Linked DNA regions of Coturnix japonica. The protein of the gene in region 2 interacts with the protein of the main gene of each other region in a pairwise test. Links are inferred from orthologs where the notes say so. Each region holds a gene or a part of one and is shown on either strand. Other genes may lie near its edges.

The links.
Region 1: the proteins of ATPAF2 (region 2) and PKP4 interact in binary tests that used the Homo sapiens proteins (3 or more experiments, as listed by UniProt). The two-hybrid records come from large-scale screens. The link is inferred for Coturnix japonica from reciprocal best matches to the Homo sapiens genes ATPAF2 and PKP4.
Region 3: the proteins of ATPAF2 (region 2) and FSBP interact in binary tests that used the Homo sapiens proteins (3 or more experiments, as listed by UniProt). The two-hybrid records come from large-scale screens. The link is inferred for Coturnix japonica from reciprocal best matches to the Homo sapiens genes ATPAF2 and FSBP.

What each region holds. Positions count from the first base shown.
Region 1 is NC_029522.1:33,225,546-33,229,195, forward strand, and holds part of PKP4 (plakophilin-4), read left to right. Parts: intron 1-405; coding exon 406-589; intron 590-953; coding exon 954-1,071; intron 1,072-1,237; coding exon 1,238-1,429; intron 1,430-1,560; coding exon 1,561-1,734; intron 1,735-2,425; coding exon 2,426-2,576; intron 2,577-3,457; coding exon 3,458-3,650. UniProt on the Homo sapiens protein: Plays a role as a regulator of Rho activity during cytokinesis. May play a role in junctional plaques.
Region 2 is NC_029529.1:5,009,336-5,012,375, reverse strand, and holds the end of ATPAF2 (ATP synthase mitochondrial F1 complex assembly factor 2), read left to right. Parts: intron 1-488; coding exon 489-569; intron 570-671; coding exon 672-784; intron 785-1,128; coding exon 1,129-1,244; intron 1,245-1,869; coding exon 1,870-2,007; 3' UTR 2,008-2,487; downstream 2,488-3,040. UniProt on the Homo sapiens protein: Plays a role in the assembly of the F1 component of the mitochondrial ATP synthase (ATPase).
Region 3 is NC_029517.1:114,239,742-114,243,920, forward strand, and holds the start of FSBP (fibrinogen silencer-binding protein), read right to left. Parts: upstream 2,847-4,179; 5' UTR 1,701-2,846; coding exon 1,330-1,700; intron 1-1,329. UniProt on the Homo sapiens protein: Transcriptional repressor that down-regulates the expression of the fibrinogen gamma chain. Represses transcription of GSK3B gene promoter via its interaction with APBA1.

The DNA.
Region 1 (3,650 bases), on a different chromosome or scaffold from region 2:
AGCGTTAGCACAGAAGTACAGGTTCAGGGGGAGAAGTGAATCCTGCGGTTACTGCCCCAAGGTTCCGCAGTGCAGTGCCCCTTTAGGGCGTTCTGTGGGGGCTGTCCTCTCACCTTCCTGCTCCTTCCTCAAAGAGCTCGTACCCTGGACAGCCAGCCAGGATGGGGGATGCCAAATACATCAACTTGAATAGGAGAGAATGTTACATCAGGGTGAAGAAAGTCCTATCGTGGCAGCTTTGCTGACTATTTTTGGACTGGAACTGTTAGAGTAATATTAAGTTGCACTGCAAACTAAATGCGTAGGCTAATTCTCTTTCTCCTGTTGAAAGCAAAGTCTGTTAAGTAGCCAGTATTGCTGCATATCTGCTCGCTCTAACGGCCACAATGGAAATCTCTTCTGAAGGGGTTCTCTGGAACTTGTCTTCATGTGATGCGGTGAAGATGACAATCATTAGAGACGCTCTGTCAACGCTGACAAACACTGTGATAGTGCCGCACTCCGGGTGGAACAGTGCCTCCTTTGATGATGATCATAAAATCAAATTTCAGACCTCCCTGGTTCTGCGCAACACGACGGGATGCCTGAGGTAACCTCCTGTTCTGCAGCACCCCACGGGCCCAGCAGCTCCTTCTTACCCTTAATCCTTAAGGCCAAATTGCTGCTGCCTTCCATTTAGTTCTACCATTCAGACAGCTTTCCTATTCATTGGGGTTCTTTTTCTGCATTAGGGATAGGGAGCTAGGAGATATGGTTTAGGGGTTTTCTGTAGGTATGGTGGAGGGGGGACGGTTGGACTAGATGATCTTAAAGGTCCTTTCCAACATTGTGATTCTGTGATTCTGTTTTGTTTGTTAAAACAAAATAATGGAAAGTAATCTGCAAACTGTCCAATAAATGGTGTCTGTCTGTGGGTGGGTGTGCTGCATTCATTTCTCATTTGGACTGTTTAGGAATCTCAGCTCTGCGGGGGAAGAAGCCCGGAAGCAGATGAGGTCCTGCGAAGGGCTGGTTGATTCTCTGCTCTATGTGATCCACACCTGTGTGAACACATCGGATTATGACAGCAAGGTGTGTGCAGTTTCATCTGAGGGGTTCTAGTGCTAACTCGTGTGTCTGATCTGATCTCTTGGGGTTTGTGCTTTAGGATACCTGTTCATCTAATGCTTAATTTGTTTGGTGTTTTCATCACAACACGAGAAAGCAACAAATGACACGACGTCTTTACTGGTTTCAGACAGTGGAGAACTGTGTGTGCACCCTGAGAAATCTTTCCTACCGCTTGGAGCTGGAGGTGCCTCAGGCGCGTCTGCTGGGCATCAATGAGCTGGACGACTTGTTGGGGAAGGAGTCACCCAGCAAAGACTCGGAGCCGAGCTGCTGGGGGAAAAAGAAGAAGAAGAAAAAAAAAACTTCCCAGGAGGACCAGGTCTGCCTTTATTTTTATTACAAATGTTTAAAATGTTTAACTAACAGTGAATATAACTTGAAGAAGAACACCATGAGTTGAATGGAAATACAGAGCTTTGTTGCATTTACAAATACGTATCCTTTTCTCAGTGGGATGGAGTTGGCCCTATCCCAGGATTTTCCAAGTCTCCTAAGGGGGTAGAAATGCTGTGGCACCCGTCGGTGGTGAAGCCGTACCTAACGCTTCTCGCAGAAAGCTCCAACCCAGCCACTCTGGAGGGCTCTGCAGGATCTCTCCAGAATCTTTCTGCAGGCAACTGGAAGGTACCCGACTTTCCTCCTCTTTCTCTCTAGAGCGCGGCATTAGTGCTTCTGTGCTATGAAATGTTATTTCTGCAGTGAAAGGCGATGTCAAACATGGTAGGCAGGGAGAGCGAGCTGGAAACTGTATAGTCAAAATGTACATGTAATAGGCAGTAATCACACTTCATAACATCAGGACCGCAGTATGTAGTATATTGGTTACGAGCATTAAAAAGCTGCATTTGCTCTGTCATTTTCATTTCCATATATTGCTGCTAATGGCTCTCACACACAATGTGTTACAACAGCATTAGGTGAGAATACTTCATTAATGGTATGTATTTGTCACAGGGGGATGGAGAAAATGTTAATTGCTTTCTTTGCTGTAGGAAACCAGATGAGGATGCTTCGTTTTATGCCCCTTTCAAAGTTGACCCTTTTTAAGAAAAGTACTTCTCCTTCTTCAATGATTTGTCACCTATTGGGATGTTTTGTCTGCTAGAACACTTCTTAAAATACTGTGCCATACCGGGAATGGGTGACAAAGAGCAGAGTCAGCCCTTTTTAGTAATGATAAAAGGAACCATTGAACTGTTAACATATCATCTTTGTAAAGATGTCCTCAAAATACTTAGGAATTATCATCTAATGAGAGACAGTTTCAGTCAGAATGCCCCAGTATATCTGCAAGTAACTCGGAGCTCTATTACAGTTTGCAGCGTACATTCGAGCTGCTGTAAGGAAAGAGAAAGGACTGCCGATCCTTGTGGAACTCCTGAGGATGGATAACGATAGAGTCGTTTCGTCTGTGGCAACTGCCTTAAGGAACATGGCGCTGGATGTTCGGAACAAGGAGCTGATTGGTGAGTGCAGAACTGTGAGGAATAACAAATCAGTCTGACCTAATACTGAAAGAGTACAACGTGAGATTCTACCAATAGACACAGCACACTCGATTTTACTGCAGCACATCACTTGTGCCCCAGAAATGAATTTTTTTGACAACAGGAGCTTTTCAGAGTCATTCTGTTGTTCTGGTTTGCCTTCAGCCGTCGTGCATGCCAGTCTTGTCACAGTGGGCTGAAGTGACCTCAGATGAACTGGACAGGAAACTGTCAGCACAAAATATGATGGATAACACAACTCTGCTTCCTTGGAGCTAATAAATGGTCGCCTTCTCAGAGGGCTTCAGGGGCCCTTGTGTACACTAACAGAAGGTGACAGCCCTGCTGCCAGCACACCAGTAAATTCTTTACCATTGGTCAGTGCAGAGCTCTTGGCTTTCAGCGATCGATACTCTGGGGTAAAAGGGTTATTTGACAGAACAGGCACTGTAACAAATAGCAGTGTAAGATGGTGTGTGGAAATGGGTGTGTTTCACTTCCCACTGTGTTTGAAAGGAATTGCTTTTGTGCACAGAATTTATTTTTGAGTAAAATTTTTCCCCAGACACGTTGTGCAAATAGATGGCAAAGGGCTCTGAGGAAGGCTTATTCATCAGGCACCATGACAGACAGATACAAGTCTGCAGCAAAATCAATTAGTAATCAATTAATTGTCAACATGACCTAAACAGTAAAAGAAAAAAAACACTTCAGCTTTACTTGATTTCCTTTGATTGCAGCGCGATTATTCCTCTGTCAGTCAGTAATTGAAACCGAAGGAGATGAGATCTGATCTCTCGTGGGTGACAAACACGGTGAAACGTAAGTTCTGACGTGGTTCTGTTGGTGGGTTGCTACAGGTAAATACGCCATGCGAGATCTGGTGAATCGACTGCCAGGAGGCAATGGCCCAAGCATATTGTCTGATGAGACCGTGGCTGCAATCTGCTGCGCACTGCATGAGGTCACCAGCAAGAACATGGAGAATGCCAAAGCCCTCGCTGACACGGGGGGAATAGAAAAGCTGGTGAACATAACCAAAGGAAGAGGTGA
Region 2 (3,040 bases):
ACAATCTCAGCCTCTGAGGTGTCCACTGGCAGCTGCTTTGCTCCTGAAGGGAGAGGGAAACCAGATTCACCTCACTTTTTGTGGCTTTGTTTGTGTTGGGCTGGGCAGGGCGGTGGCTGGTGAGTGCTAAGCTGAGCCACTGGGCGTGCAAGGCAGCAGGAAGGGCCCTGTGGGATTTGTCCCATGGATCACTAAATCTTGCTGCATCCCTTGGCTGGTTTCAGGTAATCTGCAGTCTTCTGTTGTAGATTGTAGCCCTGTTATATAGCTGCATAGAACTGTCCTTTCTAGAACAATAAAAAGCTTTGAATGGAGAGATTATTCCCAGTCCCAGCTGTTGCAGGTAGGGTGAACAAGAGGTCTATGCTCCCCATACTGTGGTCTACGGAGGGCACAGACTTTCTTCTCAGGAGTGCTGCAGTCTGGCTGGGAGCAGTCTGACAGCTTGTGTGTGAACACCCACATGGCTTTGTTGTGCAATGTCCCAGCTATCGTGTGGAGGAGCCAGTTGCCTTGGCAGAGCTGCAGAAGAAAGAATGGGATCCTATTGTTGCCTGGGCTGAGAAAAGGTGAGAGTTTAAAGCTGTTTCTAAAGGCCCATAGCTGTAGTGCTCGTGACTCAGAGCTGCAAGATCCACAAGCTTTTCTAAGGGGCCATGTGATCATGTCAGGTACAACGTGGCAATCGGATCCTCTACCAGCATCATGGGACCAAACATCCCAGCCAGCACCAGGGACACCTTCATCAGCCACCTGGCCTCCTACAACATGTGGGCTCTGCAAGGTGAGAGGCTGGGCTGCAGGAGCCCTCTGTGTGGGCTGCACAAGGGCAGGAGAGCTCCTCTCCATGGGAGAGGGGAGAGACTGTAACGTTTTTCCCCCCCTGCTGATATGCTGAGATGATCAGAGCATTGAGGTCATTGCAGTGATGGTGGTCAGGAGAGCACTATTGTGCCGTTAATTGCATGTCTGGCTGTTAGGAGCCCAGATGGGAGTGGGGAGGCATCACTGTGATCTGCCTGAGGGGGGACCACAGCCTGATTGTCCTTTCCAAGCATGGGAGGATGCTGCTGTAATGCTGTGGAAAACGACCATGAATATTGTTTGTTTTGGATTTTTCCCTTCCAGGTATAGAATATGTAATCACCCAGCTGAAATCTCTGATTCTGTCCATGGGCCTGATTGACAGGCACATTACAGTAGAGAAAGCCGTGCTTCTGTCTCGGCTGGAGGAAGAATACCAGGTAAATTATGTTACAGAGCAACCCCATAATTCAAATAGCAATAATCTCAGCATGACAAATGCACCCCCCACCACAAATAACTGGCAGGGGAAGTGCCTGCTATTACAGGAGAGGTTCCACTCCACCAGTCCGGAGCACGCTGCTGTAGAGCAACATGATAGATGCAACAGCCCAGGGTGCTCTTGGGGCTGCCAGTTTTGTTTTGCAGAACCCAGGTGGCTGCTTTTCTCCCTCTCTAATCTGAAGTGCAAAGCCATGGATGGCTTCTCTTGCTGTGGGTTTTCCAGGCTGGAGGCCTTGCTGGACACCAAACTATTATTAAATTGTTTCCTCTGAGAGCAAAAGCTGAAATCTGGCCTGGTGTGAAGCTCTCCCTGACCTAAAATGGCTGAAACTGATGAGAGTATTTTCATCCTCCCTTTAAGGGGTTTTTGCCTCAGAGCTCAGTACAGAGGAATCATGTCCTTCCACCGTATTCATCCAGAGATCTCCCTACCCTAGTAGTGTGCAGTCAGCACAGCTCCTGGAGGGCTGCCTGTGTTTCACAGACATGAGAAAGGAGGCTGAGTTGCCTAGCAGCTCTGAGTGTAATCCACTTCTGAACTGACTTGTGTTCCTCCTCCAGATTCAGCGGTGGGGCAATGTGGAGTGGGCCCATGACTATGATCTGTGTGAGCTGCGTGCTCGTGCAGCAGCTGGGACTCTCTTTGTTCATCTCTGCTCAGAGAGCTCAACTGTCAAACACAAGCTGTTGCAGGACTAAGGCTGCAGGACTGGGTGGAGGAGGAAGATGCCCTGCTGTGAATTGCTGCCGTGACCTGGAGAGGGTAACAACCATCCTGCCACCACAGCTTGTCTGGGATCAGGCTTGTGCTGAGGAACTGCAGCTTTGTGGGCAGCTCCTTGCTGCAGTGCAGCGCCAGCAGTTTTGAGCCCACGAGGAGGAAAGGTCAAGGTGAGCTCCCTCTGCATATTCAAGGAAGCAGCGCTGTCCATTACCAGTGTCTGTAATTCATCAGAGGAGCTCCCTTGAAAGAAACAGCTTCCTGGGCAGGGCACGGCACAGACACACCTAGCATATGCCACATGTCTTCATAGCTGCCAGCTCCTGACACACACTTGTTATGGAAATCTGAAAACAGACTCCGTTGCATCTGTTCTTCATCCCTCAGTGTGCCTGTATGTAACACCAGGGTCTCTCTGTTTGATTAAAGGCACGCCTCTTCAAGATACTGAAAGCTAATGCTGCTGAGTATTTCTTTGTTTTAATTGTCAAACCATGGTGTAGATCCTGAGCTGCTCGGCTCTACGCAGGTGTGGGAATGGCTGAAGGCAGAAAGTCGTGGAGCAGAGCTGAGCAGACACTAGAAGGCAGATAGATTAGCTCTCTCTGTGTGTCTGTGTGAGTCTCTCTGTACGAGGTGTCCTGTCCCAGCAGCCAAGGAGCAGCAGGGAGCTGACTGTGCAGTGTTGGAACAAGCAGGGAGGGGGAAACCTCCCACAGCCATTTCCAAAAGCATAAGGCACTTGGAGCTAAATCTGTACATCAGGCAGCACCAGCTGAAGGGCTTTCACGAGACCAGGTCTCTCCCCAGAGTGCATATGCAGCCACCCTTTCATTTAACCTTCCCACCTTTCTCCTTGCTGCTTGCCTCTAGCAGTACCGCCCTGGCCAGCATCATTCCTCAGAAGCTGCCCACAAGTGAGTGCAGCAGCTGCTGTCACTGAGCAAGGAGGGGAATTAATGACTCCTCGCTTGGCTGTTGCGAGCGGCAGTGTGTGAGTTCCTGTGGAAC
Region 3 (4,179 bases), on a different chromosome or scaffold from region 2:
TTGTTCCAGAGTATTCTTTGGAACTGTTCCTCCAGGGGCATTCACCAGGAGCAGCAGAGCAGCCCAGTTGCTTCAGACTCCTTTACGCCAAGGACCCACAGCAGCATATTTTTAGAGCATCTGCTATGTTGGGATTTAGGCAATTGTTACCATTCAGTTCAACCGGTGGCACCATGAATCGAATTTGTCCTGTGTACTCATGCCAGTTTTTCTTAGAGCATTCAGCTGCTGCACCAACTATCTGTATATCTGATTGAAATATGGGAAGTTCACTTCCCATTAATCCGTTTGTGAAAAGGAGAAAACAATAAAAATAAAAATCGGAGATTTCTCAAGATTTGAGGGGATTTATTTGGCTTTTATCCCTCCTGCCAAGCTCACTTTGTGTATCTGGAGGAACCAGAACCTGACCCAGGCATTTTTGGATCCCTCAAGGACCAATACAGAATCAGCAGAGTGCTGCAAGTCAGATACGAGGGGCATTCGCCAGCTGTGTGAGAAAGCCTGTATGCTGCCTGCCTGTATTATGTCTGGCTTCAGATCTAGACAGTGTGCCTCACTTTACTGAGCAGTAAAAGAAAAAAAGAAAGGAAGGAAGAAAAAAAAAGCCCTACAAAAAAGAAAACTTCTACTGCTGTATCTCTCAGTTCCTCCTCGTGTGCATTTAAGCTGCCCAGCACACAGGACAGAACTGCTTGGAGTTTAGACAGCAATTAGCTCTGCTCCAGTTTCAGAGAATTCCCATCAAGGCAAGGAAAGTAACATTTTTAAAGCACATCTGCACTCCCAAAGTCACTGTGGTGCGGGGGGTACAGGGTTGGTATCAGTTCAAACAATATGCACATCAGAGCAAACGAGAGGCAAAACAAGCTCTCTGAGCAAGGTTTCGTAGCTCTGCAAACTAACTTTATCAAAAATCTTACATAAACCGGTAACAGTTGCATATGTTGCAAAATGACTGCAGTATTGCCTTAAATGGAGGAGAATAGCCATCACTTTGCCAGTGTTTGAATAATCTGCCTATTAAAAAGTAGGGGAGGGGTAGAGGTTGGAGCTACTATTTCTCTTTGATTCTCCCTTAACCCTCACTTTCCGGAGTGTGACAAAGACTGAAACAGGCTTTGAAAGAGCTGAGAGACAAACGCAGTGCTAAGTCACCATAAAGCTGGTCATCAAACAAAAGCAATATGATTTTGTCATTGTTCCCAGCTTTGGGATTTTCCCTCGCAAACACTTCCTTTAGGACACCGAGCACACGAAAAGCGTTACACGGCAGATAGGAGGCGCCATCATTTTCATTCAGCAACGAAATAAAAAGAATTCTCTCACCTTTGTACACCGCTCCTGTCTCTTATACACATCTTGGAAATCTGTGGAATCATCTCCACAACTTTCTTGGTTGGCTCGGAAATGCTGCTTTTACAGTCTGAATGAGTCTCCTTTTGCTGCAATAGCTCCTGCTTGGCATATTCTTTGAGCCTCTTGTACAGCGTGCGCAGGCCCTGTGCGGTGCGAGGCGGGCGATCTACTCCGATGGCATTGTAGTTATCGGCTATGATATCCCAGCACTTGTTTTTTTCCACTATTACGGAATGCTTATTGGTGTGTTCTTCGAGAATTTTAACGTAAGGCTTCACGAGTTTTAGCAAATCGAGCTTTTCAGATAAGGTGAAATTAGAAGATCTGGCCTTCCCGACCATTGTTAGCTCTGAATTAAGGAAGCAGCTCCCGAAGCCACCATGCAGTCCCTAGCTCTGCTCAGCTCTTTTTCACAAACAGAAAAAGATCAGGCTTAACTAGGCTAGTCTCATTTAGGCCCACGCCTACAAGGGAGGGTTTATTAAAATTCCTTCAGCTTAAGCTGACGCAGGTTCAGGAAATCTGCTTAAGCCAAGCCTGACCTACATAAGGCTTCAGACTGAAGAAGACGAGAAGAAACAAGCAAAATACACTTTTGTATGAAGAGACCAGACGCACGCAGGATTTAAAAACATAAAGGTTTAAAGATTAGCACATTACCCAGCTAAAAATTACCTAATTTAGCTTGAGTAACAAGCTCTGACACATAGCTCCGGCTCTCTCACACGTATCTCAAAACTGAAACCGCACTCGAGATTTTTACACGCCACCACGTCCCCGAAAAGCAACAAATTGTTTGGTGCCGTTTATTGACTGTTAAACCGGGCAGGAGGAGAAGCGAGCGCAGCACGTAGCGCAGCGTGTGTAGAGAGCTCCCTAACAGAGCCCCCAGCTCTGGCAGTATTTGCATAATGCTGGTCCTGCTGTCAATCAGCAGTTGCATATCCCCCAGCTAGTTAGGTTACACTCGGGCTTCGCAGCAAAGCTAAGCTTCCCCTGCATTCTGCAGGCTGCTCCTGCTACCTACGCGGAGGCTTCTTAAAGAGGCAGTTTCTATTCCTGGCCGAACGCTTAACAACGGTGAAAAAACACCAAAATCCCGGCGAGAAAACCCCAAACGCCGCCGCGTGAGCCCTGAATCAGCTTTTTATTAGAACTTCAGCCTGCAGCTGTGCCCTGCTAAAACATGCCTGCCTTGTAACGCATGTGTCATCGCCATTCAGGCCGCGGCGGCTGCGAAATGGCATGAGCTAACTCTTGGGCTACATGCAATAAAGGTTACATTCAATCACCGCAGATTTACTGAGTGCGCTGAGGCACGTGGATACAGGGACCAAGAAAGAGGCTGCTTTTATCATAATACTTGTGGGCATTCTCTCGGGATAAAAAATCTGACTCTTATTAATGAGATGCGTGTGAATTTCTCATGTTTGCTCACAAGTCTATCACCTTAAGTCACAGAATCACAGAATCACAGAATGACCCGGGTTGGAAGGGACCTCAAGGATCATGTAGTTCCAACCCCCCTGCCTGGCATAGCCACCAAACATACACATTTACTAGATCAGGTTGCCCAGGGCACCGTCCAACCTGGTCTTGAACACCTCCAAGGACGGGGCATCCACAACCTCCCTGGGCAGCCTGTTCCAGGGCCTAACCACTCTACTAGTGAAGAACTTCCCCCTAACATCCAACCTAAATCTTCCCTGTTTTAACTTAAAACCATTTCCCTGTGTCCTGCTATTGTCAGCCCTTTCAAAGAGTTTACTCCCCACAAGTAGTAAGTAAGTCAAGCCTTAGCACAAAAACGCACCCCAGGCTTTCCATTTTGTGGTCAAAACTAAATTAACGAATCAGAGAAAAAGGGGAGGTGGGAAAAACCATGCATAAGAGGAAAGGTGCTCGTGAAACCCAAAACCTAGTGTGAAAAATGACATACGTCATTGAGAGTCCAGAGGGTGGAAACAAACACAGGCTGAGATAGCAGCAACTGCCTCTCGAGCTTAACATGTTCAGCCTTGAAAACAAGGGAGCCTGGAAGGGGGGTGAGGGCAAGAGGAACCTAATTATAGTCTGAAATATCTGAAGGCAATAAAGATCTGGGTATAAACTTGCTTGCTCTAAGGGGGAGAAAAGCCAAAGCAGATGCAAGATGCATTCAGAATAAAAAAAAAAAAAAAAACCTTCAATTAAACAAAAGGAGACTTCAGCTGCTACAGATCAACCAGCAGTTAGAACAAGAAGCATGTTTGGAACAAATGGTGACACCTCACCCAAACCACCTCGTGTTTGAGACCTGTCTGCTTTGCTGGCACTGCTTTCAAGCCAACAACAAATCAAGCATTTTATAGTCTGCAGCCCATTGCAGCAGTTTTGAGAAACAAAATACTCGTGTGGTTAGAAGCACTGTATGAAAACCAGTACTTTTAAACCCCTAATCCTTCCCTATTTCCCCACACTTTGCTATTTACTACAATGAAGAGCTGGATGCTGGTGGTTATTATTATTTTTATTGTACTTGGTTGCTCTTTAGTATGTACAAGAAATAAAAACCAAACTGGATTATGCCCGAGGAACTTCAGGCTGCTGGCAGTGTTGGAATCGAGGAGTCACAAGAGAGCCCACACTGTGCCCTCATATGTTGGAGCAGCTGCGCACTGCCTGATCTCATGACTTTAGTGACAAAAGGAAACAGTGTTTGGTTGTGTGATTGAAGGCTCCTCCCCACAAACACAGAACAGCACAGATAACCAACAGACCCCAGTAACCAGAGCAAAAAGAGCTCTTGGTCTGACTATTGCCATGTCTGCCACAGCAGGA